4 linked regions of the Anolis sagrei genome follow. The main gene of each other region encodes a partner of the protein of the gene in region 3 in a complex. Links are inferred from orthologs where the notes say so. Each region holds a gene or a part of one and is shown on either strand. Other genes may lie near its edges.

Region 1 (7,162 bases), on a different chromosome or scaffold from region 3:
CGGTAAGGAATACTCACAGGGAGGTCTGCCAATTACTTCATCTGAAAATATAGCCCTCAGCACCCAGTATTCATTTGCACTTTCCTATCCAAGTACTAACCAGAGCTGTCCCTCCTTTACTTCCTAAATCAGTCAGGATCTGAGGCATCTTACTACTACTACCACTACTGTGTGGTGTATCGGCAAATAATGCATGCAGATATGAGTAGGGTGGCCTTTTGCTGCTGACAGATGGTAATTTTGTCAGCGCTGATTGTGTTCAAGTGCCGACCAAGGTCTTTAGATACTGCACCCAGTGTGCCGATCACCACTGGGACCACTTTTACTGGCTTGTGCCAGAGTATTTGCAGTTCAATCTTTAAATCCTTATATCGTGTCAGTTTTTCCAGTTGTTTCTCTTCAATCCTGCTGCCGCCTGGGATTGCAACATCGACGATCCATAATTGGTTTTTAAACACATTTGTGAGGTCAGGAGTATTGTGCTCCAAAACTCTGTCAGTCTGAATTTAGAAGTCCCAGAGTAGTTTGATGTGTTTATTTTTTGTAAGCTTTTCAGGCTTGTGATCCCACCAGTTCTTTGTTGCAGGCAGATGGTATTTGTGGCACAAGTTCCAATGAATCATCTGAGCAATGGTATTATGCCTCTGCTTGTAGTCTGTCTGTGCAATCTTCTTGCAGCAGCTGAGGATGTGATCTATTGTTTCGTCTGCCAGTCTACACTTGGGGTCTGTCATCAACTTTTCAGTCTGGCTTTGATAGCATTTGTTCTAATTGCCCATTCTTGGGCTGCAAGAATCAGGCCCTCTGTCTCCTTTTTCAAAGTTCCATTTGTAAGCCACATCCATGTTTTTTCTTTGTCAATTTGGTTCTCAATTTTTCTCAGGAACTGTCCATGGAGAGCCTTCTTTTGCCAGTTTTACCTTCTGCTCTGCCTTGTATTTTTGCGGTATTCACTCATTGTCTTTTGCACTTGAAGCAGTTTTCTACCATTGACTTCCATCAATGTTGGTTCTTGATTGCCTTTCACATAATCTGCCAGTGTATGTTTCTCTTCTTCTGCTGTTTGTTTCACTTGCAGAAGCCCTCTGCCTCCTGATTTTCTGGGCAGGTAAAATCTGTCGACATCATTACGTGGGTGTAATGAGTAGTGGACTGTCAGCAGTTTTCTTGTTTTTCTGTCTAGATCATCCAACTTTGAGTGTGTCCAGTTCACAATTCCAGCAGTGTATCTGATGACGGGGATGGCCCAGGTGTTGATAGCCTTGATTGTATTTCCACCATTTAATTTGCTCTTCAAAACTTTTCTGACCCTTTGGACGTATTTTTTGCTGACCACATTTTTCACATGCCCATGCTTGATATTGTCCAACTGTAGTATGCCCAGATATTTATAGGCTTCAGGCTGATTGCATTTTATAGTCTGTCCGTTTGGCATCTCTATACCCTTGCTGTGAGTAATTCTCCCTTTGTTTAATGCCATTGCGGCACATTTGTCTAGGCTGAACTCCATACTGATGTCAGTCCTGAAGATTCTGACTGGATTTCAGTTTCATTATTATTATTATTATTATTATTTGAAACACAAAAAGATTAGTACACAGCAAACAAGATCACTCTGTTGTGCTGGATCACACATCCAACACTTCCCTAGTAGTAGGAGTAGGAGTAGTTATTATTATTATTATTATTATTATTATTATGTGTTTTTGGTATGCAGTTTTTTCCTAACTCTATGTCCTTGAGGTTGTGGGAGGGGCTGTGGACAATGTGACCAGATCAGGGACTGTTTGGAACACAGTTAAAAGATGACAGTTGAGGAATGACCATTGAAGATGACAGTTGGAAGTTGACCGTTATAAAGGAGAGTTGTACAGAGCTGTATAGTGTTGAAGTGACTGATAAAGACTGAAAGTTAAAGACACAAACTGAAATGTTTTAGTTTAAACAAACAAGAAACATGTCTGTATATTTAAATACATGAGGTTGTGAGTAAAACAAATATGTTATTTTAAAGAAATCTACTTGATTTTTGTCTCCTGAGAGAATGGAATAGAAACAAGATATTTATGGGAGTAGATGTCTTTTGAACACTAAACAACACCTTTGAAGATCTGCTAAATATATATATTGTGTATTGGCATATTCTCTGTTGCTAATAGTTCAGAGTCACCTGGAAATCAGTCTAGCAGCTGAATTGCAAAGTATAAATACACATAGATACAATGTCTTTTCTTAAAAGATATAAAGCTTATGGTTTTCCCAATTGGTCATAATCAGAGCCCCCAGTGGTGCAGTGTGTTAAACCCTTATGTTGGCAGGACTGCTGACCGAAAGGTTGACGGTTCAAATCCAGGAAGAGGGGTGAGCTCCCACCTTTTCATGCGGGGACATGAGAGAAGCCTCTCACAAGGATGGTAAAACATCCAGGCGTCCCCGAGCAACATCCTTGCAGATGGCCAATTCTCTCACACCAGAAGCGACTTGTAGTTTCTCAAATCATTCTTGATATGAAAAAAAGGTCAAAATCCTCCATTCGGTTATGTGACCTGTGATTATCCAATAGTTAAACCATCAGAGAAAGGGGGGTGCGCCTACACTGTAGCATTAGTGCAGTTTGAGTCCACTTTAGCTGTCATGGGAGTGACAGTTTGGTGAGACACCATCAGTCTTCAGCAGAGAAGACGAAAAACTTGGTAAAATTCCCAACAAATTCCATAGCCTTACACCTCTCTGGCAAAGAGTGCTGATGTGTGAACACACTATAACTCCCAGGACTACATTGTAAGTGGTGTCGAACTGCATTAATTCTACAATGTGGATGCACGCAGGCACAACCCCACTCCCTTAAGAGCCTCAACCCAGCCTCCGCTCCCGCCTCACCTGCATGGCGACGGTGATATAAACCCTCCCGCGCCTGGGGGGAGTTCCTTTGCAGGGCTGTTTCCTCTTCCGGGTCGGGACTTCAGGAGGTCGAAGGTCCCGGATGAGGGCGGCGCCAGCCATGGCGGCTTCAGAGAGACCCGACGCGGAGGTACTCTTCTTTGCCCTGCCGCCGCTCGGGGCGAAATGGGTGGGAGGCGGCAGGGAAGCTTTGCAGGCCTTGCAGGGTGTGCATACACACGTGCAGCCAGACACGTGTGTGAAGGGTGGTTCCCAGTCCTGGCGAGCTGGTTGAAAGAGTGGGCAAAGAGTCTGCCTCCCACCTGAAACCCTGTGGCTGCCTCCTGCAGGATTCTGGGGCCTGTAGTTGAGTGAGAGCCAGGGTCTCTCTGTCTGAGGCTCTTCCCTAAACTACGAGCCCCAGAATTCTGCAGGAGGCAACCGCGGGATTTCCAAACGGGAGGCAGACTCTTTGCCTACTCCTTCAGCTCGAGTGTGATAACTTTAGTAGACGAGTCTCCTCTTTGTGGAAAAATAAAGAGGGGAGCCCTTGCCAAGAGTGTGGGACTCCAGAGCCTCGCCTGAAGGCAGGTTGAGTATCCCACAGCCAATATCCTCCAGAAGAAAGGGTGCACACACTCTAGACTTAATGCAGTTTGACAACACTTGTATTATTTATTTATTTATTTATTTATTTACTTTGCTTATATACCGCTGTATCTCAAGCCTGAAGGCGACTCACAGCGGTTCACAAACAGTAGAAACAGTAGAAACAGCAGTGGTTCCATACAACATATAACAATTGACTTAACACATTATCCATAAATTACCAATAAGCAATTACAATGCACAATTATTACAAAAAACAACCGTACACAATGTACTTCTAACCGTACTTCTAACAGCCAGGGCTCAATGCTATGGAATCATGGGAGGTGTAGTTTTACAAGGTCTTTGCCTTCTCTGCCAAAACATGCTCTTTTTTAAATCATGTCAGAAGCGACTTGAGAAACTGCAAGTTGCTTCTGATGTGAGAGAATTGGCTGTCAGCAGAGACATTGCCCAGGGGATGCCTAGATGGGTTATTTGTTTGTTTGTTTTTTGTTGTGTCAGGAGCAACTTGAGAAACTGCAAGTCACTTCTGGTATGAGAGAATTGGCCGTCTGCAAGGACGTTGCCCAGGGGACGCCTGGATGTTTTGATGTTTTGCCATCCTTGTGGGAAGCTTCTCTCATGTCCCCGCATGGAAAGCTGGAGCTGATAGAGGGTGCTCATCCACCTCTCCCCGGATTCGAACCTGTGACCTGTCAGTCTTCAGTCCTGTTGGCACAGGGGTTTAACCCACTGCGCCACCGGGGGCTCCTAGATGGGTTATCATCCTGTGGGAGGCTTCTCTCATGTCCCCGCATGGGAAACTGGACCTGACAGGCGGGAGATCACCCCATCTCACTGGAGCCCCCTGGGGCTCAGTGGGTTAAACTCCTGTGCCGGTAGGACCAAAGACCAACAGGTCGCAGTTTCAAATCAAAGGAGAGTGTGGATGAACTCCCTCTATCAGCTCCAGCTCCTCATGCGGGGACATGAGAGAAGCCTCTCATAAGGATGGTAAAAACATCCGGGCCTTCCCTGGGCAACGTCCTTGCAGATGGAAAGGAAATTCCATCTGAACATGTGGAAAAACTTCCTGACTATGAGAGCTGTTCAGCAGTGGAACTCTCTGCCCCGGAGTGTGGTGGAGGCTCCTTCTTTGGAGGCTTTTAAACAGAGGCTGGATGGTCATCTGTCAGGGGTGATTTGAATGCAATATTCCTGCTTCTTGGCAGGGGGTGGACTGGATGGCCCATGAGGTCTCTTCCAACTCTATGATTCTATGGCTAATTCTCTCACACCAGAAGCGACTTGCAGTTTCTCAAGTCACTTCTGACACAACCCAAAAAAAAGGGATTTGAACCTTTAAACCACTGACCTTTAGGGCAGCAGTTCAACCAGCACAAGGGGTTTAAGCTATTGCACTACCGTGGCTCCAGCCAAGAGTGCTGGTGCTTCACCAAATCGCAACTCCCTTGACTCCTTTGCCTGGAGCCATGGCAGTGAAAGTGTGGTGTCCAGCTGCATTAATTCTACAATATAGATCAGGCATGGGCAAACTTTGCCCCCCCCCCCCGGTGTTTTGGACTTCAGCTCCCACAATTCCTAACAGCCAAAACACCTGAAGGGCCTGAGTTTGCCCCTGCCTGGTATAGATGCCTATAGTGACATCTTCGGCTTTGTTGGTTTAATCACATGAACCTTGGTTTGTGGGAAGTTCTGGAAGGGGTGCCAGACTGCAGAAAAGATTGAGTAACCGTAATCTGATCCATGTTGGTAATTGAGAGAACAACACCTTTGGCTTTGTTGGTTCAATCACACAAACATGGTTTGAGGAGAGCTCTTGCAAAGAGTGTGGGGTCCCCATTTTGGAGTGAAAGTTTTGTAAAAGGCATGAAACCCCTGTTTTGGCGGGGAGCTCTTGTAAAAGGTGTGGGGCCCTAGTGCCAGACCTGAGTGCAGGTTGAGTATCCCCAGTACACAATACTTCAAAATGGTCAATGTGGTTTACTGATATAATAACACCTTTGTTCTATTTGCTTATTTATTTACTTTGTTTTTATCCGGCCTTTCTCTAGATATAGGGTCACATAGTGGCTAACAGCAAACATAATATGAGACAAACAGAGCAAATTCATGGGAATATAAATATTAATATTGGAAAAATTAACTTTTTCTTTATTGTTAATAATCAGAATTGAAGTACAGTAAAGCTACATTTAAAAACTACACACCCCCCCCCCCAAGACAACACACACACCATTCCCATTGGTTCAATTGCACACATATGATTTGAGGGGACCACCATTTTTAAGGGGAGCTCTTTCTAAGCATGTGGGACCCTTGGTTTGGAGAGGAGCTCTTTGCAAAGAACATGGGACCCAAGTGACAGACCTGGGTATGGGTTGAGTATCCCAAATCCAACATTCTGAAATGGCCCATGTAGGTAGCTGAGGGAGTGACACTTTTGGCTTTGCTGGATCAGTTGCACAACCATGGTTTGAGGGGAGATTTTGCAAGGGATGTGGGACCCCCGTTTTGGAGAGGAGGTTTCGTACAATGTATGAGATCTCCCTTTTGGATGAGAGCTTTTGCAAAGGTTATGAAGCTCCATTTGGAAGCTGATCATAGAATCATAGAGTTGGAAAAGACCTTGTGGGCCATCCAGTCCAACTCCCTGCCAAGAAGTGGGAAAATTGCATTCAAAGCACCCCCAACAGATGGCCATCCATCTCATCTTTGCAAAGATTGTGACCCCTCCTTTTTTTTGTGGAAAAGAGTGTTTGCAACGAATGGGGGATCCTGGTGCCAGACTTGAGTTCGGGTTGAGTGACTGAAACCTGAAATGGCCCCTAATGGCCCACGTGGATGGCTGATAGAGTGATACCTTTAGCTTTGATAATTCAATGTATATAAAAGTAGCTTCATGCACAAAGTGATATAAAAGTTTGTGTATAACAGTGATCCCCAAGCTGTTTTCCTCCAGAAGTTTTGGACTTCACCTCCCAGAAGCCTCGGCTGCCTTGATCAATCATCAGGAATTCTGCAGGGTGAAGGCCAAAACAACTGGAGGACTAGAGTTTGGTGACACTGAGGTGTAAAATTACCTTCAGATTATGCTTTATGATGTGTATATGAAGCATTTGTGAATTTCATGTTTGGACTTGGGTTACATGGTTGCACTCCAAGAAGTTTAATTATTATGTATATACAATTACTGTGGGCCTTGGTATCTGCCAGAGTTTGTTTCCAGGATCCCTGTTGATACCAAAATCCATTGATTCTCAAACCTCATCATGTACAATAACATAGTTAAATGATGTCCCTTATATAATATGGTAAAATTAAGGTTTGCTTTGTGGATTTTTTTTTGTGGGAAATATTTTCAAGGCATGGATGTTTGATTCTGTGGATACAAAGGGTTCCAAGTATGCTCTGGTTCCAAGTATTTTGGATAAGAGATACCAAATGAAAACAGAGTGAATCCTTATCTAAACCAAAAAGCAAATAAACAAGCCTCGTCAGTTTTCAACCAGACCCATCTTTCCCAAGAGTTTGCAGGAGGCCCATGAGTTACAGGCAAGTTGCCTGTTGAACAACAAGACAAAACGATTTTGGTGAATAAGAACCTGCTTGAGATTGGTTGGTGTGCAGCTTTATGAAGCTACCGTCTCTGTAAAAATAAGGGTGTGCA
Region 2 (7,959 bases), on a different chromosome or scaffold from region 3:
ACAAAATAATTTGTTTCTCTTATGACAAATGTCTGTGAACTGTAGCCTCAACCTCTATTCCATTCAAACCAGTGGTTTTGATTATTCAAGTCCATTCTAGAATTACAAAGCATCAAAGAGCACATCACTACTTTTTGGCATCCTGTTGAATACCCCCATATTGAAAATGTGTATTCTGAGAGTCTAATACATTCCTCAACATTAACTGACCCACCTTCAGATAGGTCGTTTACTGTCAGAAGTAATAACAACAACCCTGAAGCAAATAATTTTTGGAGTCAAGAATTCTGCTGAAAAATGACAACCACTGAAAAAAATAACAACTGTCCTTATTTCTGGTGGTGCAATGGGTTAAACCCATGCGCCGGCAGGACTGAAGACCGACAGGTTGGAGGTTCGAATCCGGGGAGAATGCAGATGAGCTCCCTCTGTCAGCTCCAGCTCCCCATGCAGGGACATGAGAGAAGCCTCCCACAAGGATGGTCAATCAATCAAAACTTTATTCCAGTTCATGACCAGCACAAAGTGTATATACAAATCCAGATCACAATATTGGGACCCAGTCCCATAATTCACATCCAACCCAAAGGGTTGTAGACTTCAAACTCCAACAAATTTTGAAATCGAAGCTAAAAACCAATGCAAGAAGTTATTAAAACTTAACATCAAAACATCTGGGCAACATCCTTGCAAACAGCCAATTCTCTCACACCAGAAACGACTTGCAGTTTCTCAAGTCGCTCCTGACACACACACACACACACACACACAATAAAAATAAAATTCCCTTCCAGAGAATCTCTAAGAAAGATCTAGTTTTCAAAAACACCCTGTTGGGACAACTTTAGGTAATTTTAACTACAACCCAAGTCATTCAAGACAGCTTAAACAAATATTTCTTGCTCTCCTCCATCCAGAAACACAACTTTTTGAGAAAATCACAAATACTAATGGTAATGTTTCAACCAGTCTCGGTTTTGGTTTGTTTGTAAAGCAAAGGGAGCAGCAAGTTGCAAGCAGGGCTCAGTCCAGGGTTCAACTTCACCACCCTGCGATTGGGGAAGTGCATACTCCACTTCTTTTGCAGACAATGAAGGATTTCCTGCTTATTTAACTCCAATAAGGAAGCTCCCACTACACTAGCTCTATCTGCAACGGTTTATGTTTTTGGAAAGGGGGGGGGGCTGGGGGACATAATACATTAAACACATAGGCAACCCCATGGGAGTAGGTCAGTTTTGTGATCCTGCAGAACATACCCATAACTACACATAAGCAGATCAATTTCATTATATTCCACTTCCAGGATTAAATAACACCAACCAGTCAAAATCTGCTACCAATTTGCATTAAGGGGGGGATCAGACAGAGGTCACCAAAACCTAGACTGGGCAGGAAGTTCAACTGGATCCTAACTCAATTAAGACTGAACTGGCTCACCTAACAACAATAAACAAACCAACAAATAAAGACATCAAGACAAGGGTGCAATGTAAAAGAAAGGGTTGCTACTCCCATTCATCTGTAAGTCGAAAAAGCAAAATCTCCAAATTGGATTGTTGTGAGTTTTCCAGGCTGTCTGGCCATGTTCCAGAAGCATTCTCTCCTGACGCTTCACCCACATCTATGGCAGACGTTTTGAGGTCTGTTGGAAACTAGGCAAGTGAGGTTGATATATCTGTGGAATGATGTCCAGGGTGGGAGGCAAGTGTGACTGTTACCAAAGGCCACCTTGATTAGCATCAAGCTGTTCGAAACTAGGAAAATGCTTCTTCAGGAGAGAATGCTTCTGGAACATGGCCATACAGCCAGGAAAACTCACAACAACCCAGCGATCCCAGCCGTGAAAGCCTTCGACAATAAATCTCCAAATTCCAGTGAAGGGATTTTGCCGACAACCCCCCAAGACCTCTTGTGTCACTTTCACAGTTTGGTTTTCCTTGTTATTTCTAAGGAATCAAGCAAAGTTGGCCTAGTAAACAGAAAATGCATTTTGGTGTGTATTTTTTTTGGTATGTGTATGTGGGTTTTTTTTGGGGGGAGGGGGTGAAAAAGCTGAGGAAAAAGTCACTATCAAAAAGACACACCCGAAATCTTTGTATTAGGGAAGACAGGCCAGAAATGAAAGAGGTGAAGGAGCGTGGAAAAAAAATGGAAGTTAGGAGGAGAATCGAGAACAAAAACAACAAAAGGAGAGAGAGAAGGAGGCAAAAATATAAATCCGAGGAATGGTGGCAAAGCGAAGACCAATCAGGGAAAGAAAAACAAGGGCTGGTGTACATGTACACAAATATGTGCGTGTGTGGATCTAGACATGTGTGTACACAGAGGGAGCTGGAAAAATGTCTGGCAAGGCCTACTCCAGCAGGAGCAATGCTAAAAATGGCTGCTCGCTCGCTCTCCTATTCACTCCCCTCCTTCCCTTGCTTTCCTTTCCTTTCCTCCCTTCTGCTGGTGAGCTCTCCTCTCCCTTCTTCTCCCTCCCACCCCAGACTTTCCCGTCCACCAAGGTTTATCTCTGATCCGTAAAACCTTTCCTCCTCCTTCTCCTCCTCTTCCCCCCCTTCCTTCAACCTCCACCATCATCCACCCTTTGGGTTGATTCAAATCGCCCCCCAAAACCCACCCCGAAAGGCTCCCAAGAGCCACACACCGACTCACCAGACAGAATAGGTTGGAATGGCAATCCTCCAGGCTGGCCCCGTTGGGTACGAAGCAAGAACTCATCCTCACAGCCACAACCCACACGCCATTATCCCACAAGCCTCCGACAAGAAAGAAAAGAGACAGACAGGGCGAGAGAGAGAGAGAGAGGAAGGCACACAGCCTGAGAAGGGAGGGACACACAGCACACTCTCGCACACACCAGCCAGCAAGGGAAAGGGCCCCCTTTTTTTCCTTTTTTAAAACCCACACAACCACAAGAAGAGCCCAGGGAGGAGTTTTCGGAGGGGGTTGCACGGTGGCGTGTGCGCCACAGCACACAAATAGATCGGGATAAATAATAATAATAATAATATCTATTTATTATTTAATGATATCAAATACCAGGGAGGGGAAAGGAGAGGAAGAAAGGAATCTTCTTCCTCTGAGGAGCTCAATTTCCGAACCCCAAAGAGATAAATAGAGAGGAGGTTAGAGAAAGGAGGCTGGGGTTACTTCAAGGCGAAAAGGAGGGGGGCAGAAATGGGAAAAAGGGGGGGGGGAGAGAGAAAGAGAGAAAGAAAGACACAAATAATCCAGCGATTGAAAGGCGGGTGGGAAATAAATCCAGGAATCTCTGTCTCTTTTTCCTCCTCACGAGCAGAAATGCAATATATGGGATCAAATGGTCATCTTGAGGTTTTTCATCTTGGAGAGGAAGAAATGCAGCAGATTGTTCTTTTTTCTCCCCCTCCCCTTCTTCTCGTCTCTCTCCTCAGCCAGACATAGACATATTTTCAGTTAAGTCAATGAGAAGGGGACAACTTTCTAGTCTGGTATCTCCTCGATGGGTTGAATGTGGATCAAACGTTCCCCTTTGCCCCAAATTTAATTTTTTTCCTTCTCCCAGAAGGTGGGGAATTCCTGTTTGCGTAAAGTGTCTTCCAAAGTTTCCAATAATTCAAACTTGTGGCCCAATCCAGAGGGGTCTGTAGGGTGGGAGTTTCCTGATGCAGCGGTGCGAAAGGAAGAGGGTCTGACCCAAAAGAAGAGAATTCCAAGGAAGAAAGGTTTGCTTTTGGGTTTGGGAAGTGCAAGGCCTGAACTTCAAGACCCCCCAGAGACACTGAAAAGATGCAAACACTCCTCCAAAAAGAAAAAGTTCTGATTTTTCTGACACTGTAGTTGAACAAAACTTCTGCTTCAGGTTGTTGACAGAACCTTTCGAAAGGAAAAACAGCCAAAAGAAAAGTTTTGTTTCTCCCCTCTTGTCAAGTCCACACTGGAGGGTCCTTTTTCCTTGACAGGAAAAAATGGGGAGAAAGAACTTCTTTCGAAGGGAAGAAGAGAAAAAAACAAAACACCTTTTCCTCAAAATCCCAAAATTAATTCCTCGGCAGAAATGACAAAATCCCTTCTCCCTTGTTCACTTCCTTCTGATGTCTGCTTTTTTCTTCCCCTGAACCAAAATAGGGGTATTTTCCAATAATTATAATAATGACAATAATTTAAAAAGGCGCGGAGAATGAAAGAAATAGAAGATCAAGACGAATCCGTTGGGTCAATCTGCTAGGCCAGAAGTCTCTGGATGCTTTTTGTTGTTGAAAGAACCACCAAAGAGTCCTTATATTCCCTTCTCCTTCTTTAAATGGACTCACGAGAAAAGAGAGGAGGTGAGAAAGTTAGACAAACAGGAGCAAGGAGCTTGTCTCTTTTCCTTTCTAGAGAGAGAAGATAATTCTATTTCAATAGATCAAAATGGCGTGGAATTGTGGAAGGATGTTTATGTATAAATATAAATGTCTCTAGGTGCCTCTCTATGGAAGCTCCCTTCCTTCTTTCCTCTCCTAAAAGGGATTCTTTTGGGCCTGTATTCTCTTCTTGTTCCCAAGAGGTGGTTTTCCAAGTGAGAAAGTTCAAAACAAACCGGAACGAGGAGCTTGTCTCTTTTTTCCTTTCTAGAGAAGATAATTCTATTTCAAGAGATCAAAATGAGGTGGAATTGTGGAAGGAAAGGGTTCTTGAAGACGTTTATGTCTATAGGTGCCTCTCTATGGAAGCCCTCTTCCTTCTTTCCTTCCTTCCTCTCCTGAAGGGATTACTTCAGGTCTGTGTTCTCTTCCTGTTTCCAAGAAAACACAGGGGGTGAGAAAGTTCTAGAGCGGAGGGAGAAGGTAATTCCACACCCCGATGTATCAAAATGCTGTGGAATTGTGGAAGGAAAGCTTTCTTGAAGATGTTTAGGTCTATAGGTGCCTCTCTAGGGAAGATTTCTTCCTTTCCTTCTCTTCTCCTGAAGGGATTCTTTCAGGCCTGTGTCCTCTTCCTGTTTCCAAGAAAAGGCGAGAAAGTTCAAGAAATCAGAACGAGGAGCTTGTCTCTTTCAAGAGCAGAAGAAGGTAATTCCACACCTCGATGTATCAAAATGGTGTGAAATTGTGGGAGGAAAGGGTTCTTGAAGATGTTTAGGTGCCTCTCTAGAGAAGCTCCCTTCTTTCCTCTCCTGAAGGGATTCCTTTGGGCCCGTGTTCTCTTCCTGTTTCCAAGAAAACACAGGAGGCGAGAAGATAATTCCACACCCCGATGTATCGAAATGTTGTGAAATTGTGGGAGGAAAGGGTTCTTGAAGATGTTTAGGTCTATAGGTGCCTCTCTAGGGAAGCCCTCTTCCTTCCTTCTTTCCTCCCCTGAAGAAATTCTTTCAGGCCTGTGTTCTCTTCCTGTTTCCAAGAGGAGGTTTCTCAAGTGAGAAAGTTAAAAGCTTGTCTTTTTTTCCAGAGCAGAGGGAAGAAGGGAATTCCACACAGCGATGTCCCAAAATGGGGTGAAATTATGGAAGGAAAGAGTTCTTGAAGATGTTTAGGTGAGCTCCCTTCCTTCCTCTTGTGGAGGGATCCTTTCAGGCCTGTGTCCTCTCCGTTTCCAAGAAAACACAGGAGGAGAGAAGGGAATTCCACACTCCGATGTCCCGAAATGGGGTGAAATTGTGGGAGGAAAGGGTTCTTGAAGATGTTTAGGTGCCTCTCTAGGGAAGCTCCCTTCCTTCCTCTTCTGGAGAGATCCTTTCAGGCCTGTGTTCTCTCCCTGTTTCCAAGAAAACACAGGATGTGAGAGGGTAATTCCACACCCCGATGTCCCAAAATGGGGTGAAGTTATGGAAGGAAAGAGTTCTTGAAGATGTTTAGGTTCCTCTCTAGGGAAGCTCTCTTCCTTCCTCTCCTGAAGGAATCCTTTCTCTCCCTGTTTCCAAGAAAACACAGGAGGTGAGAGGGTAATTCCACACCCCGATGTCCCAAAATGGGGTGAAGTTATGGAAGGAAAGGCTTCTTGAAGATGTTTAGATCTATAGAGTTCTTGAAGATGTTTAGGTCTATAGGTGCCTCTCTAGGGAAGCCCTCTTCTTTCCTTCTTTCCTCTCCTGAAGAAATTCTTTCAGGCCTGTGTTCTCTTCCTGTTTCCCAAGTGAGAAAGTTAAAAGCTTGTCTTTTTCCAAAGCAGAGGGAAGAAGGGAATTCCACACCGCAATGTCCCAAAATGGTGTAGAATTGTGAGAGGAAAGGGTTCTTGAAGATGTTTAGGTGCCTCTCTGGAGAAGCTCTCTTCCTTCCTCTCCTGAAGAGATTCTTTCAGGCCCTGTTTCCAAGAAAACACAGGAGGTGAGAGGATAATTCCACACCCCGATGTCCCAAAATGGGGTGAAATTATGGGTTCTTGAAGATGTTTAGGTGCCTCTCCAGGGAAGCTCCCTTCCTTCTTTCCTTCCTCTCCTGAAGGGATTCTTTCAGGCCTGTGTTCTCTCCCTGTTTCCAAGAAAACACAGGAGGAGAAGGGAATTCCACACCCCGCTGTCCCAAAATGGTGTGGAATTGTGAAGGTGTTTGTGCCTCAGTATCAGTGTCTATAGGTGTGTCTCTGAGGAGTCTCTCTCTCCTGCTCGCTTTCCTCTCCTGAAGGGCTTCTTTGGGGCCTGTGCTCCCTCTCTTCTTCCTGACAGGAAGCCAGGCCGCTCTCCCCTGACAGGTAGGCAGAAAGAAAGAAGGGCCTTCCTCCTTTTCCCCTCTCCTCAGCGGTGCCTCTGCTTGCGGCTGCCCAGCCTCGGCATCCTGAGAGGTGGCTTCTCCTCCTTCTCCTCCTTCTCCTCAGCGAGTCTCTCCCATTCTTCCTTCGGCAGCTGAAAAGGTTGACAAACCAAAAACAAGGGTGAGGGGGGGGGGTTATGAATCAATCTCCCCTCCTTCCCCTCTTCTCAATCCCTTCCCAAGGACTTACTCTCCTCCCTCCTCCTCAGAAACAAGGCCTGGATCCGAGGATGATGAGGATGATGTGATGTTGCCCTCTCTCTCTCTCTCTCCCTCCTCCTCCTCTCCCTCCTCCTCCTCCCTCTTGTCTCTTTCTCCTCTAATGGCGGCCAAACAGCAGGCCAGCGTCGTCGAGAGGGGGAAATCGCGCTCCCATTGGCTGCCCTCCTTTTCTGCCTTCGCCTTCCCGCGCCGCCCATTGGAGGAGCGCCCTGTCACGTGGCGGCGCGTCCCGCCTCCTTCTCTTCCCCCCTCCCCTCCCCCCAGATGGCGAGGAAGGGAAGAAGGAAGGAAGGAAGGAAGGCAGCCCGCGCAGGCGCAGAAGCGCCGCCAGGGGCGCCAGAGAGCCAGCCAGCCAGCGAGAAGGGAGGCGGCGCCGCCAACGAGATCCACCGCGGCGGCTGCTGAGCCAGCGCCATCTAGTGGCTTGGTGGGAAAAATGCAGGGGGAGTCTTCATTAGTCTGAACATTGCTATCTCTATCTATCTATCTATCTATCTATCTATCTATCTATCTATCTATCTATCTATCTATCTATCTATCTATGTATCTATGTATGTATGTATGTATCTATCTATCTATCTATCTAGCTATGTATCTATCTATCTATCTATGTATGTATCTATCTATCTATGTATCTATCTATCTATGTATGTATCTATCTATCTATCTATCTATCTATCTATGTATCTATCTATCTATCTATCTATCTATCTATCTATGTATCTATCTATCTATCTATCTATCTATCTATCTATGTATCTATCTATCTATGTATGTATCTATCTATCTATCTATGTATCTATCTATCTATGTATGTATCTATCTATCTATCTATGTATCTATCTATCTATCTATCTATGTATCTATCTATCTATCTATGTATTAACGATGTATCTATCTATCTATCTATGTATCTATCTATCTATCTATCTATCTATGTATCTATCTATCTATGTATGTATCTATCTATCTATCTATGTATCTATCTATCTATGTATGTATCTATCTATCTATG
Region 3 (7,976 bases):
TGTTTCCATAGCTTTCAGCCATAGCAGTTAAACTGATGTCAAACTGTATTCATTCTACCATGTAGATAAACCCTTAGTGGTTGATAGCTGAAGTTTGTAGCTTTCCAATCTGATCTATTCAGAAGTGTATTCACTAGTAAATTCAGTCTGCTGTCATGGAGAAGTGAATGTAAGTGTGAATTAGATGGTCAAAAAGAAGTTTCTCTTCAGATCGTATAAATCTTTTACCTTTTACTTCAAAAGATCCTTCCACAAAGAATCTGGAGCCTCAATTTGAAGTTGGCTTTGCATTCCATGTTGCTTGGGAAAGTTAAATCAGTATTTGCTCTTTTGACATAATACCTTTTGGTTCCTTGTTTGTTACGGATTTCTCTAGTCACTTCTGTGGACAGGAGAGCCCAGCAAGGGCAATCAGGAAGTACATAAACGCAAAGGTGGTCTTAGCCATACACCTTGTCTCTCTCACACAGAAGATCATCACATCAACAAAAGAAATAAGACAACAAAGGGGCTGCTTATGACATTACATTTTAAATCTCCTGTCTTAAAAATACAAAGTGGCTGGATGAGTCTAGCATTTTGGATTCCAGCTCTGTGCAAAATGTTGACATGGGTGGAGTAAATTCATCACTGACTGTAAACACAAAGTCATATTATAATTCTGAATGATCTGGAGTTAAATAAAATATATATGACGAAATACAGGTTTTTCCTGTATTTTCAGGTGATTTTATAGTTGTCCGGAATTAAATGTTGACTCATAATTTGGAACAAGTTTCTAAATTGCACTGTTCTGCATTGTACTTTTTTCCCTTTTCCAAGATGCTTTCTTGTTTCCCTGAAGAGATTCTTCCCTTCTCTTTATATTTAAAGTGTCATGATGTATTGTTATTGCCGTTATTGCTTGCTTAACTTATTGATTTGCTATGTTTTCTACTGTTGTGTTGTTTTACTGTATTGTGTTTTGAGGCTTCGGCCTGCGTAAGCCGCATCGAGTCCTCCGGGAGATGCTAGCGGGGTATAAATAAAGTTAATAATAATAATAATTAATAATAATTACAAGCACAAGTTCAAGAACAGTTGAGTTCAATGAAACGTATTCCATAGTAAAAGAGCTAGTAATAAATAGCAGGTCAGATATGATCCCTAGCTTCTACAAACTCCTTTTCTACAAACTCCTTTTCTTCCAAAGCATTTTTTTGTGATCTCACATCCAATATATTTGCTTCCTCACATCTAGAATCATAGAATCAAAGAGTTGGAAGAGACCTCATAGGCCATCCAGTCCATCCCCCTGCCAAGAAGCAGTAATACTGCATTTAAATCACCCCTAACAGATGGCCATCCAGCCTCTGTTTAAAAGCTTCCAAAGAAGGAGCCTCCACCACACTCTGGGGCAGAGAGTTCCACTGCTGAATGGCTCTCACAGCCAGGAAGTTCTTCCTAATGTTCAGGTGAACATTAGGAAGAACTTCCTGACTGTGAGAGCCGTTCAGCAGTGGAATCTCCTTTCTTGTAATTTGAAGCCATTGTTCCATGTCCTAGTCTCCAGGGAAGCAGAAAACAAACTTGCTCCCTGCTTCGTATGAGACGAACACAAAACCAAACTTTGAAGCATCTTAAACCACTTTATTGAAGCACAGGGTTTCACAGAATTGAATCCAAATTATCTAATATATGAAGTTTTGCATTCTGTTAACAGGAATATGTGTGTGTGTGTACACACACGAAAAGATTCTTAGGGCACTTTCAGACAGTCCATATTACAAGAGGGATCCCCTCACTTCTGCAGGAGTCTACCGTATACCATGCTGCTGTGGACAAGTCTACATACGGACCACCAAACGCAGCAATGCCCAAACACGAGTCAAGGAACATGAAAGGCACTGCAGACTACTTCAACCAGAGAAGTCAGCCATAGCAACCTGGACACAGCATATTATTCGAGAACACAGAAATGCTGGACCACTCTCACAACCACCATGTCAGACTACACAGAGAAGCCATTGTAATCCACAAGCATGTGGCCAATTTCAACAGAAATGAGGAAAACATGAAAATGAACAAAATCTGACTACCAGTATTAAAAAAATTCTAAAATTACAACACCAAAACAACAGAGGGAAAACAATCAGGGACATCTATTCATCTCTCAACAAAAGATTGCCCCAGGCACTGCTAGGCCATCAAATGCTAATCAATTTGGTCAGTTGAAACATTCACACCTAGCACCAACAGACAAGAGTCCTTTGTCCCACCTGGTCATTCCAGATATATAAACCCATTTTCCTAGTTCCAACAAACCTCCCTACCTCTGAGGATGCTTGCCATAGATGCAGGCGAAACGTCAGGAGAGAATGCCTCTAGAACATGGCCATATAGCCCGAAAAAACCTACAACAACACAGTCCATATTATCTCAGGATCTGATCCTAGGTTTTCTGCTTTAAACTGGATTACGTGAGTCCACATTGCCAGATAACCTGGGATGTAGGGCCTGTCTGGAAGAGCCCTCAGGCATTGCAAGGGTGGCCTCCCCCAGGGCCAGGAGGATGAGGAACAACAGGTTAGGGGCGAGAGAGGCCTGTGGCCCATAGGCAGCCCTTGTGGCAAGCCACACGTGAACTGCCTAAGCATCCTGGGCTTATCCAGAAATCGGAAAGACTCCAAAAATCTGACACTCTCTCTCTCCGCATGGGTGGCTGAGAGAGTGACACCTTGGCTGTCTAATCGAATGGGTTTCTTTCAGATGCCACTGGACGACACCGCCCATCTCTTTGGGGCGAAGGGGAGCTGCAGACCAAACCCCACCAGGAAGGCATCAAATCGTCCTCCCTCCCTCGCACTCCTCCCTCCCCGGAGCAGGAGAAGGCGGCGCTCACCACCACTTCCTCGAAGATGCTCTGCAGCTGGGTCTCCATCGGGACCGCCATGCTGAGCGGAAAACGACCCCCGCCTCTCGCTGGCAGGAGCCTCACCGCAGCCACCGGCCCCCACCCCGGAAGGGATCCCCTTCCACATCCGGGTCTCCTTAGAGAGAGGAGGCGGTGTCTCCTCGGCGCTTTGCAAAGCGAAGCCCTTCTAGGAAGCAGAACGGAGGGAGTTCGGTAGCGACCCCTGCAGGAGGAACGAGTTAGTGCAAGCCTATGGGTTACATTGAATCAATGAATTAATGAATGAATGGGGCTTGGCCATAGCTCAAGGCAATGGGAGCAGGCTCATAATAAATTGTGGCAAGTTCTTGGTGGTATGGGGATACCAAGACACCTTGTCCGCCTCCTGAGAAATCTGTATAATAATAATAATAATAATAATACTTTATTTGTACCCCGCTACCATCTCCCCAAGGGACTCGGTGCAGCTTACATGAGACCGAGCCCACAATACAACAATAAAAACAATAGCAACAGTAATACAAAACAATAATAAACTCATAAGCAGAAAATAAGCAATAAACATTAACAATAACACAATGACATTTAAAAACCTATGGCTGGGCCAAATGTAATAATTAAAAATTTAAAAATAATGCTGGGCATGACCAGGTGACATATAACTAGGATAGAAATTTTGGAGAGGGATGAAACATGCAGACAATCCTAGATCACTAATAAAGTGCGTTTAGGGACATATTGCTGGGAGTTTCCTTATTCTGGGAAGGCACACTGAAACAACCACGTTTTCAGGCTCCTCCTAAAGACTGCCAGAGTTGGGGCATGCCTGATGTCCTTGGAGAGTGAGTTCCAGAGTCAAGGGGCCACCACTGAGAAGGCCCTCTCCCTCGTCCCCACCAATCGCGCTTGTGATGGAGGTGGGAGCACGAGCAGGGCCTCTCCAGATGATTGAAGAGATCGTGTGGGTTTGTACACAGAGATGCGGTCACGCAGGTAGGCGGGTCCCAAACTGTTTAGGGCTTTGTAGGTAAGCACCTACACCTTGAATTGGGACCAGAAAATGAACGGCAGCCAATGGAGCTCCTTAAACAGAAGAGTTGACCACTCCCTGTAAGGAGCACCAGTTAACAACCTGGCCGCCGCTTGTTGGACCAATTGAAATTTCCGGGCCATTTTCAAGGGTAGCCCCACGTAGAGTGCATTGTAGTAGTCCAATCTGGAGGTGACTAAGACATGGACCACCCTGGCCAGATCCGCCTTCACGAGGTATGGTCACAGTTGGGGCACGTATAACTTATTGTCGAAGGGTTTCATGGCTAGAATTACTGGGTTGTTGCAGGTTTTTCGGGCTATATAGACACTAGCTGTGCCCTGCCACGCGTTGCTGTGGCCTATAGTAAAACTTATCAAAGTTGAGGTAGATATCTGGACTATTATGAAAGAGAGGTACCTACCTATTCCTTCCCCCTTTTCCTCCCCCTTTCCTTTCTTCCTTCTCTACCTCTTTCTTTCTTTCACTACTTGGTTTCATCCTTCTCTCTGTCCTTCATTCCCTCCCCCTCCTTCCTTTGCCTTTCTTCCCTCCCTGTTTGCTTCCTTCTTTCACTTTTTATTTCCTTTTATTTTACCACCATCATAACAATAACAATAATGCAATGCATTGCCTCTGGGACTTGACACCTCTCCCATTCCTCCAGGGTCTCATAGGAACAATAGCATAATAATAATAATAATAATAATAATAATAATAATAATAATAGAAATAACAACCTTTACCCGCCACGTGTTGCTGTGGCCAATCTTCCCTCTTTCTCTCCTTCTTTCCCTCCTTCCTTCCTTCCTTCCCTCCCATCTTTCCTTCTCCTCTTCTTTCTCTATCTCTTTCCTTCCTTCCCCCTTTTTCTTTCTTTTCTGCTGTCTCTCTTTTCTTTCCTTCCATCTTTCCTTTTCTTTCCTTTTCTTCTTCCTTCTTTCTCTAACTTTCCTTCCTTCCCCCTTTTTCTTTACCTCCCTTTCTCTTTCTTCCTTCTTTCCTTCCTTCCTGTCTTTCCTAGATTTTGACAGGGCGGGAAGGGGCGGGGTGGGGTTTGGAGGTGGTGTGAAGTAAAAGGAGGTAAGATTGGGGTGGGGGAGTGATGGAGCGTGGGGTTGTGTGTGTGTGTGCAGCGGCGGGGGGAGTGATGGAGCATGGGGTTGCGTGTGTGTGTGTGGCGGTGGGGGGGAGTGATGGAGCGTGGGGTTGTGTGTGTGTGCGGCGGCGGGGGGAGTGGGGTTGTGTGTGTGTGTGTGGCGGCGGGGGTAGTGATGGAGCGTGGGGTTGCGTGTGTGTGTGCGGCGGCGGGGGGAGTGGGGTTGTGTGTGTGTGTGTGCGGCAGCGGGGGAAGTGATGGAGTGTGGGGTTGCGTGTGTGTGTGTGGCGGTGGGGGGAGTGGGGTTGCGTGTGTGCGTGTGCGGCGGCGGGGGGAGTGATGGAGTGTGGGGTTGTGTGTGTATGTGCGGCAGGGGTGTGTGTGTGTGCGGGAAGCGGCGCAGCGGGGCTTGGAGTGGGCATGGTTTCCACAGAGGGAACGTTGGCCGGAAGGGCATGTGCGCGCGCCAGGGAACTTGCGGCTGGGCGCCAATGCGCATGCTCAGTTGTTTTGCCGTTTTGTGAGTGTGTTGTTGTGTTGTTTTTCATTTAGAGTAGATACGTTTATACCTTGTGGGTTGTGTTATGGGCATGGGAATTTTGGTTAAGTTTCGTTGGGGTTTTTTTGAGTTTTTTTTTTGCCGTTTTGAGTGTGTTGTTGTGTTGTTTTTCATTTTGAGTAATATGTTTGGGTTGTGTTATGAGCATGGGCATTTTGGTTAAGTTTCATTGGTTTTTTTAGAGTTTTATCCATTCCTCGTTGGATGCCCCTAACAAATTTATATATATAGATGTTCTAGAACAGGGGTCGTCAAACTTTTTAAACAGAGGGCCAGGTCACAATTCCTCATACTGTTGAAGAGCCGGATTATAATTTGGAAAAAAAAATGAATGAATTCCTATGCACACTGCACATATCTTATTTGTAGTACAAAAAACACTTAAAACAATACAACAATTAAAACGAAGAACATTTTTAACAAATATAAACTTAGTATTTCAATGGGAAGTGTGGACCTGCTTTTGGCTGATGAGATAGGATTGTTGTTATTGTGTGCTTTCAAGTCGTTTAAGATTTAGGTTGACCCTGAGTGAGGCCGGGGTAAATGACCTTGGAGGGCTGTATCCGGGCCCCGGTCCTTAGTTTGAGACCCCTGTTCTAGAAGCACTCTCTCCTGACGTTTCACCTGCATCTATGGCAAGCATCCTCAGAGGTTGTGAGGTCTTGTGAAATCTACGGCAAGCATCCTCACAACCTCTGAGGATGCTTGCCATAGATGCAGGTGAAACGTCAGGAGAAAATGCTTCTAGAACATGGCCATATAATCTGAAAAACCTATAACAACCCAATCTGTATAACAATCAAGTAGTAATGAGCCCGAGCGCAGCGGGGAGCCCCACCTTCACATTGGTGTGAGCTGCAGCGGAGAGTTCCGCAGTTCCTGGACCAAGCTTTTGGGACCAACAGATGAAATGTGCCCCAGCGGCTAGCTCAAACCCAGGAATGCTTGCAGTATTCATCTTGCTTTCCCCTTCCCTTTACTTTGTATCCTTTCCCTAATAAAAGTACTTGAAACTTGCAACTTTTTATCTTTCCGCATGCTACTTTTGTATCCTTTCTTGACTCAAACAAATAACATTGCAATAGACGTTTTTTTTGGGCTCCGGAGGACCGTGAGCCCGCGGGGGGCGCCTCCGGGCGCTCCCCGGACCCCGAATCTGCGTTCGCCTAGACCACGGATACGGAAACCGCCATTTCAGACCTCCTTATCCACAAAAATACTTAAAATGGCGGATCGCCGCCGTTCCAATTTTATATTTTTCTACAACTAATTCTAAGACTAACTGCCATTTCCCTTTTCTCGTTTTGGGCTCCTTCACCCGGGGAAAAATTAGTTTTGTTTTAAGTATTTTATCTTGCAGAGAAACAGCTGATTGTCAATTTGGCTGGGTTTTCCGCTCCTCCGCAGCAGTGCTCGCTCCCAATTCAATCCAGCAGCTTGGGACCCACGGCGGTCGCCCGTAGGAGCCCCGGAGAGGGGGCCAGGCATGGGTCCCGGGCTCCGACCAGGGAGATACAGTTTCCCAAAGGACATTGCCCCACCAATCACAGTTTGGAAATCCTCTTCGGACTCTTTTGCCCTCACTTATTGACTTTCTGCCTTATTGTCTTGGACTGTTTCCCTGCCATGCTTTTGGACACAAACCTTAGACCGGGCTTGCCTGGAGGGACAAGCAGCCTCAGCCTACGTGCGCCTTCACCAAGAAGACTATGATTCCTACAAAAATAAAATACATTTATTATTATTTTTAATAAACTTTGCTGGGATGGGGATGGGAATTTATTTGTGAGATGTATGAAGTATATAAGATGTATATAGTGGAATATCATATGAAATGTATCCTGATTCCCCTTCCCGCCTTTCCCTCTGAACTTCGCCCCAAATCCAATCATAAGACCAGGAAACTCATTGTTTCCCTTGTCTGCCACCCCGCCGATGGGAACAAAGGCTCAATAACAGCTGGCGGATGCCCCCTGGGCACTCCATTTCCACTGAGCTGTCAAACTTCATCCCGCCTCCTGGCTGCTGATTGGACCATCGTCGGAGGCGCTAGGAAGACGCCGATTGGCCCCCCAGAGGCGGCCGAGCTCGCTGATTGGACAGGAGGCGGGACGTACAGCCAAGCCTCCTCCCAGCTGTTCCGCGGCCGGCCAATCAGGGTGAAGCCGGCCGGCAGAGGGCGGGCGGGATTTTCAAAAATATTTTCTTTGTCTGTATGCTATAAAAATGCCTGGAACTTCTGTGAATGTATGCTTGTATGTGAATGATCACTGCAATCACATCCTTTTCAGCTGAATCGCAGAAATAAACGCTTCGGTCACTGAACCTCTTCAGCCTCTGGTGAGATTAATTTTTAGTATTTTTTGCTCTTTGGATTGGCTTTCGCTGGCTG
Region 4 (7,796 bases), on a different chromosome or scaffold from region 3:
GCTTTTAAACAGAGGCTGGATGGCCATCTGTCAGGGGTGATTTGAATGCAATATTCCTACTTCTTGGCAGGGGGTTGGACTGGATGGCCCATGAGGTCTCTTCCAACTCTTTGATTCTATGAACGCTGTTAACTCCCCACTGGAGTGGTACCTATTGATCTACCCACATTTTATAATAAATAATATAATAATATAATTATAATAATATAGGCATGAATGTGACTCCGTATTTCCATCAAACCTCTCTAATGATGTTTAATACTTTTTTGATATTTGTGTATTTCAGATTGTGTTGTCATGCTTTGAGTCCCCTTATGGAAAGAATAAGCTGGGTGTCGACAAACATGATCACAATGTTTCCTGCTAAAGAAAGGCTCTTACTTGAGGAACTTGGTGTAGCCGGGCTCCTTCCAGTACAACAGGGCTTGATAATATAATATAATATAATAATATATAGGTAAAGGTTGTCCCTTGACATTAAGTCCAGTTGTGTCCAACTCTGGGGTTGGTGCTCATCTCCATTTCTAAGCCGAAGAGCCAGCATTGTCTGTAGACACCTCCAAGGTCATGTGGCCAGCATGACTGCATGGAACGTGGTTAACTTCCCACTGGGATCTAGTCACATTTAATAATATATAATATAATAATATAATTATAATAATATAGGCATTAATGTGACTCCGTATCTCCATCAATCCTCTCTAATGATGTTTAATACTGTTTAATATTTGTGTATTTCAGATTGTGCCATAGAATCATAGAGTTGGAAGAGACCTCATAAGCCATCCAGTCCAACCCCATTCTGCCAAGAAGCAGGAATATTGCATTCAAAGCACCCCTGACAGATGGCCATCTAGCCTCTGTTTAAAAACCTCCAAAGAAGCAGCCTCCACCACACTCCAAGGCAGAGAGTTCCACTGCTGAACGGCTCTCACAGTCAGGAAGTTCTTCCTCATGTTCAGATGGAATCTCCTTTCTTGTAGTTTGAAGCCGTCATGCTTTGAGTCCCTTATGGAAAGAATAAGCTTTTTTTTTTTTCTTGTCAGGAGCGACTTGAGAAATTGCAAGTCACTTTTGCTGTGAGAGAATTGGCCGTCTGCAAGGACGTTGCCCAGGGGACACCCGGATGATTTGATGTTTTTATCATCCTTGTGGGAGGCTTCTCTCATGTCCCCGTATGAGGAGCTGGAGTCGATAGAGCAATGTTTCTCAACCTTCCTAATGCCACGACCCTTTAATACAGTTCCTCATGTTGTGGTGACCCCCAACCATAATATTATTATTTTTTTGCTACTTCATAACTGTAATTTTACTCCTGTTATGAAACATAATTTGGGAGTTGTAGTTGTTGGGATTCATGGTTCACCTACAATCAAAGAGTATTCTGAACTCCACCAACGATGGAATTGAACCAAACTTGGCATACAGAATGCCCATGACCAACAGAAAACACTGGAAGAGTTTGGTGGGCATTTGACCTTGAGTTTGGGAGTTGTAGTTCACCTACAGAGAGCACTATATCTGGACCAAACTTGGCACAAATACTCAGTATGCTAAATGTGAACACTGGTGGAGTTTGGGGAAAATAGGCATTGATATCTGGGAGTTGTAGTTTTCTGGGATTTATAGTTCACCTACAATCAAAAAGCATTCTGAACCCCACCAATGATAGAATTGGGCTAAACTTCCCACACAGAACCCCCATGACCCATAGAAAATACTGTGTTTTCTGATGGTCTTTGGTGACCCCTCTGGCACCCCTTGGCGACCTCTCTAGGGGTCCCGACCCCCAGGTTGAGAAACACTGCGATAGAGGGAGCTCATCCGCCTCTCCCCAGATTCGAAAGAATAAGCTGGGTGTCAATAAACATGATCACAATGTTTCCTGCCAAAGAAAGGCTCTTACTTGAGGAACTTGGCGTAGTCGGGCTCCTTCCAGTACAGCAGGTACTTGAGGTAATTGGCAAAGGCCTTGTCCTTGAAGAAGCCCCTCTGGGCCAGAACTGGAAGGAGGAAAAGGAACACAAATCAAGTCAGACACAATGGCCAGTTCTTGACCAGGCCCAAGGGGAGGGAACAACGTGTTCCCATCCACCTGCGCCACTGATTATCTAGCAAGCCAATCTCCTGGGAGAGTACAGCTTGGCCTTGCTTGATTAATTCACCTATTCATTCCTCGTATTGTCTAAGGCTTTCATGGCTGGAATCACTAGGTTCTTGTGGGTTTTTTCGGGCTATATGGCCATGTTCTAGAGGCATTTCTCCTGACGTTTCGCCTGCATCTATGGCAAGCATCCTCAGAGGTAGTGAGGTCTGTTCGAACTGGGAAAAAGGGTTTATATATCTGTGGAATGACCAGGGTGGAGCAAAGAACTCTTCTCTGCTGGAGCTAGGTGTGAATGTTTCAACTGACCACCTTCATTAGCATTTGAAGGCCTGCCTGAGCCTGGGAGATTCAGCAGGAGATTTTCCCAGGCTCAGGCAATCCTTCAAATGCTAATGAAGGTGGTCAGTTGAAACATTCACACCTAGCTCTAGCAGAGAAGAGCTCCTTGCCCCACCCCAGCCATTCCACAGATATATAAACCCATTTTCCTATTTCCAACAGACCTCACTACCTCTGAGGATGCTTGCCATAGATGCAGGCGAAACGTCAGGAGAGAATGCCTCTAGACCATGGCTCTATAGCCCGAAAAAACCCACAAGAACCTATTCATTCCTCCTTCAGTGGGTACCAATGGGACTCACAGTTGAGGTAGTTGGGGTTGGCCAGGCACTGCACGAACTCCAGCTCCATCTGGAAGCGCAGGCGGTTCCCGCCGTCCTCTAGGAACAAAACCACAAGGAAGGAAGGTCAATGAGGCGCCATTCCCACAATCCCCAGGAAGCCCTTTCCCCGTGCTAGTCTCACCGGTCTCCATGGCGACGCCGAGAAGAGGCCTGCCTTCCGAACGCTAGGCCGCAAAAATATGGCGGCTGGAGCCCCCCGCGCCTGCGCACTCGAGGGTCCGGTATCCATGGCGACGGCGCCCTCTCCGAAAGTAAGGCCTCCCATTGGCGGGTTTAGGCCCCGCCCCCCGGACCTGCGCTCTTGGAGGGAGAGGAGGAGGGCGGCCATGTTGTCGTCGCCTAGGCAACGGAGAGGCCTTGTCTTCCTTTGCTTTTTGAAGCGGGACTGGCTCTCCCCACTCCCTCCCCGTCTGCATTATGGTCCTGAAGCGTCCAAGGAGGCCGTCAAGAGGAACCCAAAACCATCTAGTCGAGGCATTGAAGGCACCATCTAATCCCTCTCGACAGAGGGCCACTCAGCCTCAGCTTGAAAGCCTGCAGAGAAGGAGATAGATTTGTATGGAATGAAACATAGATAGAGAACTATAGAGTTGGAAGGGACCCACAAAGGCCATCCAGTCCAACCCCTAAAGGATAAATAGATAAGTAGATAGATAGAATCCTAGAGTTGGAAGGGACCCAAAAAGGCCATCCAGTCCAACCCCTAAAGGATAGATAAGTAGATAGATAGAATCTTAGAGTTGGAAGGGACCCACAAAGGCCATCCAGTCCAACCCCTAGTAGATAAATAGATAAGTAGATAGATAGAATCCTAGAGTTGGAAGGGACCCACAAAGGCCATCCAGTCCAACCCTTAATAGATAAATAGATAGATAGAATCCTATAATTGGGACTCCCTAAGGGCATCCAGCCCAACCCCTAATAGATAAATAGATAAGTAGATAGAATCCTATAATTGGAAGGTCATTCAGCCCAACCCCATCCTGCCATTGAAGACACGATCCGACCCCTCTCAACAGATGGCCATCCGGCCTATCCTAGAATCTTTGTATCCTAGAGTTGGAAGGGAGGAGCAGAAAGATAATATTATTATCTATGCATCATCATCATTATTAGACTTCTAGAGATGGAAGGGATCCCCAAAGGGCTATCCAGTCCAATGCACTTCTGCCAAGCATATTATCCATTAATTTTTAAAATTATTTTACTGTTATTATTATTATTAATTTTATTTAATTTATTTATTATTCAAACTTATATGCCGCCACTCCCCTGGAGCTCGGAGCGGCTTACAAGAACAGGCTAAAATCTAACACAATTTAAAAACAATTTAAAAAAAATTTTAAAGACAGTAATATCAAAGATCAAAGGCCTATCAGACACCTAGAGTTGGAAGGGACCCCCAAGGGCCATGCAGTCCAACCCCTTCTGCCAGGAAGGAAAATAGAATTACTATTATATTAGTATTCTTAATTATCTTATTATTATTATTATTGGATTACTATTATATTATTATCCATTATATCAGAGGTCCTCAAACTAAGGCCCGGGGTCCGAATACGGCCCTCCAAGGTCATTTACCTGGCCCTCGCTCAGGGTCAACCCAAGTCTGAAACGACTTGAAAGCACACAACAACAACCCTATCTCATCAGCCAAAAGCAGGCCCACACTTCCCACTGAAATACTACATTTGTTAAAATTTGTTAAAATTTGTTTAAAATGTTCGTTTTAATTATTTTTTAAAATTATTGTATTGTTTTTAACTGTTTTTTGCACTACAAATAAGATATATACAGTGTGCAAAGGAATTCATTCATGTTTTTTTCAAATTATAATCTGGCCCTCCAACAGTTTGGGGGACTGTGACCTGGCCCTCTGTTTTAAAAGTTTGAGGACCCCTGCATTATCATCATTAGACTCCTGGAGTTGGAAGGGATCCCCCAAGGGCCATGCAGTTCCCCCATCTGCCAGGAAGGAAAATAGAATTACTCTTATATTATTATTCACTATTATAAATTATTACCGTATTGTCGAAGGCTTTCATGGCTGGAATCACTGGGTTGTTGTAGATTTTTTCGGGCTATATGGCCATGTTCTAGAGGCATTCCCTCCTGATGCTTCGCCTGCATCTATTGCAAGTGTCCTTAGAGGTTGGGACCTCACAACCTCTGAGGACGCTTGCCATAGATGTAGACAAAACATCAGGAGAGAATGCCTCTAGAACATGGCCATATAGCCCGAAAAAACCTACAAGCCATAAATAATAATAATAATAATAATAATAATAATTACTATTATTATTGGATTACTATTATATTATTATTCATTATATAATTATTATTATTAGACTCCTAAAGTTGGGACCCCAAAGGGCCATGCAGTCCTACCCCTTTCTGCCAGGAAGGAAAATAGAATTATTATTATATTATCATTCATTATTATCAATTATTATTATTGGATTACTATTATATTATTGTCTATTATGTAATTATTATTAAACTCCTGGAGTTGGAAGGGACTCCAAAGGGCCATGCAGTCTATCCCCCCTCTGCCAGACAGGAAGATACAATTACTATTTAATATTATCTGTTATTATTATTGAATTACTGCGACCAAAAGGTCACAGGTTCAAATCTGGGGAGGGGCGTGAGCTCCCGCTGTCAGCCCCAACTTCTGCCATCCTAACAGTTTGAAAATATACAAATGTGAGTAGATCAATAGGTACCGCTTCTGTGGAAAGGTAACGGTGCTCCATGCAGTCATGCCGGCCATATGACCTTGGAGGTGTCTACAGACAACGCCGACTTTTCGGCTTAGAAAGGAAGTTGAGCACCAACCCCCAGAGTCGGACATGGCTGGACTTAATGTCAGGGGGAAACCTTTACCTTTACTATTATATTATCCATTATTATTATTATTATTATTATTATTATTATTCTCCTAGAATTGAAAGGGACCCCGAGGGCCATCCAGTCCAACCCACTCTTCCAGGAAAGAAAATAATATTACTATTATATTAATAATAATAATAATAATAATAATTATTATTATTATTATTATTATTTGAAACAAAACTAAATGAGACCACAGCAGACACTCTGCTGGCGGTTGAATTGGATCACACATCGGACACTTCACAAGTGTCTAGGACTGTGTGATGTATCGGCGAATAATGTGTGCAATTATTATTATTATTATTAATATTATTATTATTATTATTATTATTGAAGGAAGATGCCATCCCTCCCGACCCGTGGCCATTTAACCTCAGAGATATTAGCAAGTTTATGGAGAAGTATGGCTATGGAATTCTGAGATCCTCTAGTTGGAAGGAACCCCCAAGGGCTATCCAGTCCAACCCCATTCTACTATGGAGGAGGGCACAGTCAAAGCCTCTGCTTCAAAGCCGTCCAGCCGTCCAGCCTCTGCTTCAAAGCCTCCAGAGAAGGGGACTCTGTGACAGAGACTCCAGTGCCGAACAGCTCTTCTTTCCAACGAAACGTTCTTCTTAATGTTCAGGTATGACCTTAATGGGAGAAAGACTGCCAGGCATGTCCAAAGCCCGGTCTGGGGGCCAATTGTGATCCTTGTTCAAATTCCTATTGGCTCCTAACTCTGTTATAGAATCAACAACATGCGGGCATGCCAGCACTGTTGACCACAGTATAAAATACATGTGTACAAAAAAGTGACAATGTAGAGGTACAACAAGCGAATTCTTCCCCAAAGATATATATACAAGATATATACACACATACACACACACACTAGCCTGTGTACTTGGTGTTGCCCAGGCTATTTGAAAAAGTCAGATTTTTAATTGTCCAATATGCATAAGGTTGTGGGTGAACTACAACTCCCATCGTGCCAGGTTAACCCCCTGAAACTCCATCAGTACTTCAGGTTTGTTATGTTGGGCAAGTTTGCTCCATATGTACCATCAGTGGGGTTCAGTGTGTTCTTTGGCTGCAGGGTAAACTACAACTCCCACCATGATAAGTCAATCCTCTCAAAACCCCACAGTTGGTTCAATTCGTCTGTGTGTCAAGTTTGGTCCCAGTTTATTGTCACTGGTGGTCACAGTGTCTCTGGTTGTAGGTGAACTACAACTCCCAGAAATTATGGTCAGTTTCCCGCAAACCCCTCCAGTATATTCAGTTGGTCATAGGGGTTCTGTGTGTCAAGTTTGATTCAGGTCCGTTGTCGGTGGGGGGATCACAGTTTCTCTGGTTGTAGGTGAACTACAACTCCCAAAATTCAAGGTCTATCCTCCCCTAAACCCCTCCAGGAATCAAATTTGGCCGTATCAGGTATGCGTGCCAAGGTTGGTCCAGATCCATTGGTGTTTGGGTTCACAGTGCTCTCTAAATTAGGTGAACTACAACTCCCTCAAATCAAGATGAATTTTCTCCAAAGACCTCCCATATTTTTTGATGGTAATTCGGGTTCTGTGTGCCAAGTTTGGTCCAATTCTCTTTTTGGTGGGGTTCAGAGTGCTCTTTAGTTGAAGGTAAACTATAAATCCAAGCACCTACAAGTCCTCCCAAAACCCACCAGTATTCTAATTTGGGCATATAAGGTATGTGTACTAAGTTTGGTCCAGATCCATCATTGTTTGGGTTCACAGTGCTCTCTGGATGTAGGTGAACTACAACTCCTATAAAGCCATACAAAGACTTCCAGTATTTTTTGTTGATCATGAAGATTCTGTATGCCAAATTAGTTCCAGGTCCATAATTGGTGGGGTTCAGAGTGCTCTTTGATTGCAGGTGAACTATAAATCCCAGTACCTATAACTCGTATAAATGAAGGTGAATTTCTCCCAAAGCTTTCCAGTATTTTTGTTGGTCATGGAGGTTTCTGTGTGCCAAGTTAGGCCCAGGGGCATCCTTGGTGGAGCCCAGAGTGCTCTTTGATTGCAGGTGAACTATAAATCCCAGTACCTACAACTCCTATAAATGTAGGTGAATTTCTTCCAAAGCTTTCCAGTATTTTTGTTGGGCAT

The links.
Region 1: MED23 (region 3) and MED8 share a complex: the UniProt entries of both Homo sapiens proteins name them as parts of the mediator complex. The link is inferred for Anolis sagrei from reciprocal best matches to the Homo sapiens genes MED23 and MED8.
Region 2: MED23 (region 3) and MED13 share a complex: the UniProt entries of both Homo sapiens proteins name them as parts of the mediator complex. The link is inferred for Anolis sagrei from reciprocal best matches to the Homo sapiens genes MED23 and MED13.
Region 4: MED23 (region 3) and MED31 share a complex: the UniProt entries of both Homo sapiens proteins name them as parts of the mediator complex. The link is inferred for Anolis sagrei from reciprocal best matches to the Homo sapiens genes MED23 and MED31.

The regions. Positions count from the first base shown.
Region 1 is NC_090024.1:182,943,611-182,950,772, reverse strand, and holds the start of MED8 (mediator of RNA polymerase II transcription subunit 8), read right to left. Parts: upstream 3,004-7,162; coding exon 2,881-3,003; intron 1-2,880. Other genes in the region: KICSTOR complex protein SZT2, read left to right, coding at 2,984-3,031. UniProt on the Homo sapiens protein: Component of the Mediator complex, a coactivator involved in the regulated transcription of nearly all RNA polymerase II-dependent genes.
Region 2 is NC_090031.1:31,483,911-31,491,869, forward strand, and holds the start of MED13 (mediator of RNA polymerase II transcription subunit 13), read right to left. Parts: upstream 3,018-7,959; 5' UTR 2,728-3,017; coding exon 2,662-2,727; intron 1-2,661. UniProt on the Homo sapiens protein: Component of the Mediator complex, a coactivator involved in the regulated transcription of nearly all RNA polymerase II-dependent genes.
Region 3 is NC_090021.1:82,352,318-82,360,293, reverse strand, and holds the start of MED23 (mediator of RNA polymerase II transcription subunit 23), read right to left. Parts: upstream 3,018-7,976; 5' UTR 2,933-3,017; coding exon 2,882-2,932; intron 383-2,881; exon of another isoform or gene 229-382; intron 1-228. UniProt on the Homo sapiens protein: Required for transcriptional activation subsequent to the assembly of the pre-initiation complex. Component of the Mediator complex, a coactivator involved in the regulated transcription of nearly all RNA polymerase II-dependent genes.
Region 4 is NC_090031.1:29,644,578-29,652,373, reverse strand, and holds the start of MED31 (mediator of RNA polymerase II transcription subunit 31), read right to left. Parts: upstream 3,009-7,796; 5' UTR 2,922-3,008; coding exon 2,912-2,921; intron 2,827-2,911; coding exon 2,749-2,826; intron 2,004-2,748; coding exon 1,907-2,003; intron 1-1,906. UniProt on the Homo sapiens protein: Component of the Mediator complex, a coactivator involved in the regulated transcription of nearly all RNA polymerase II-dependent genes.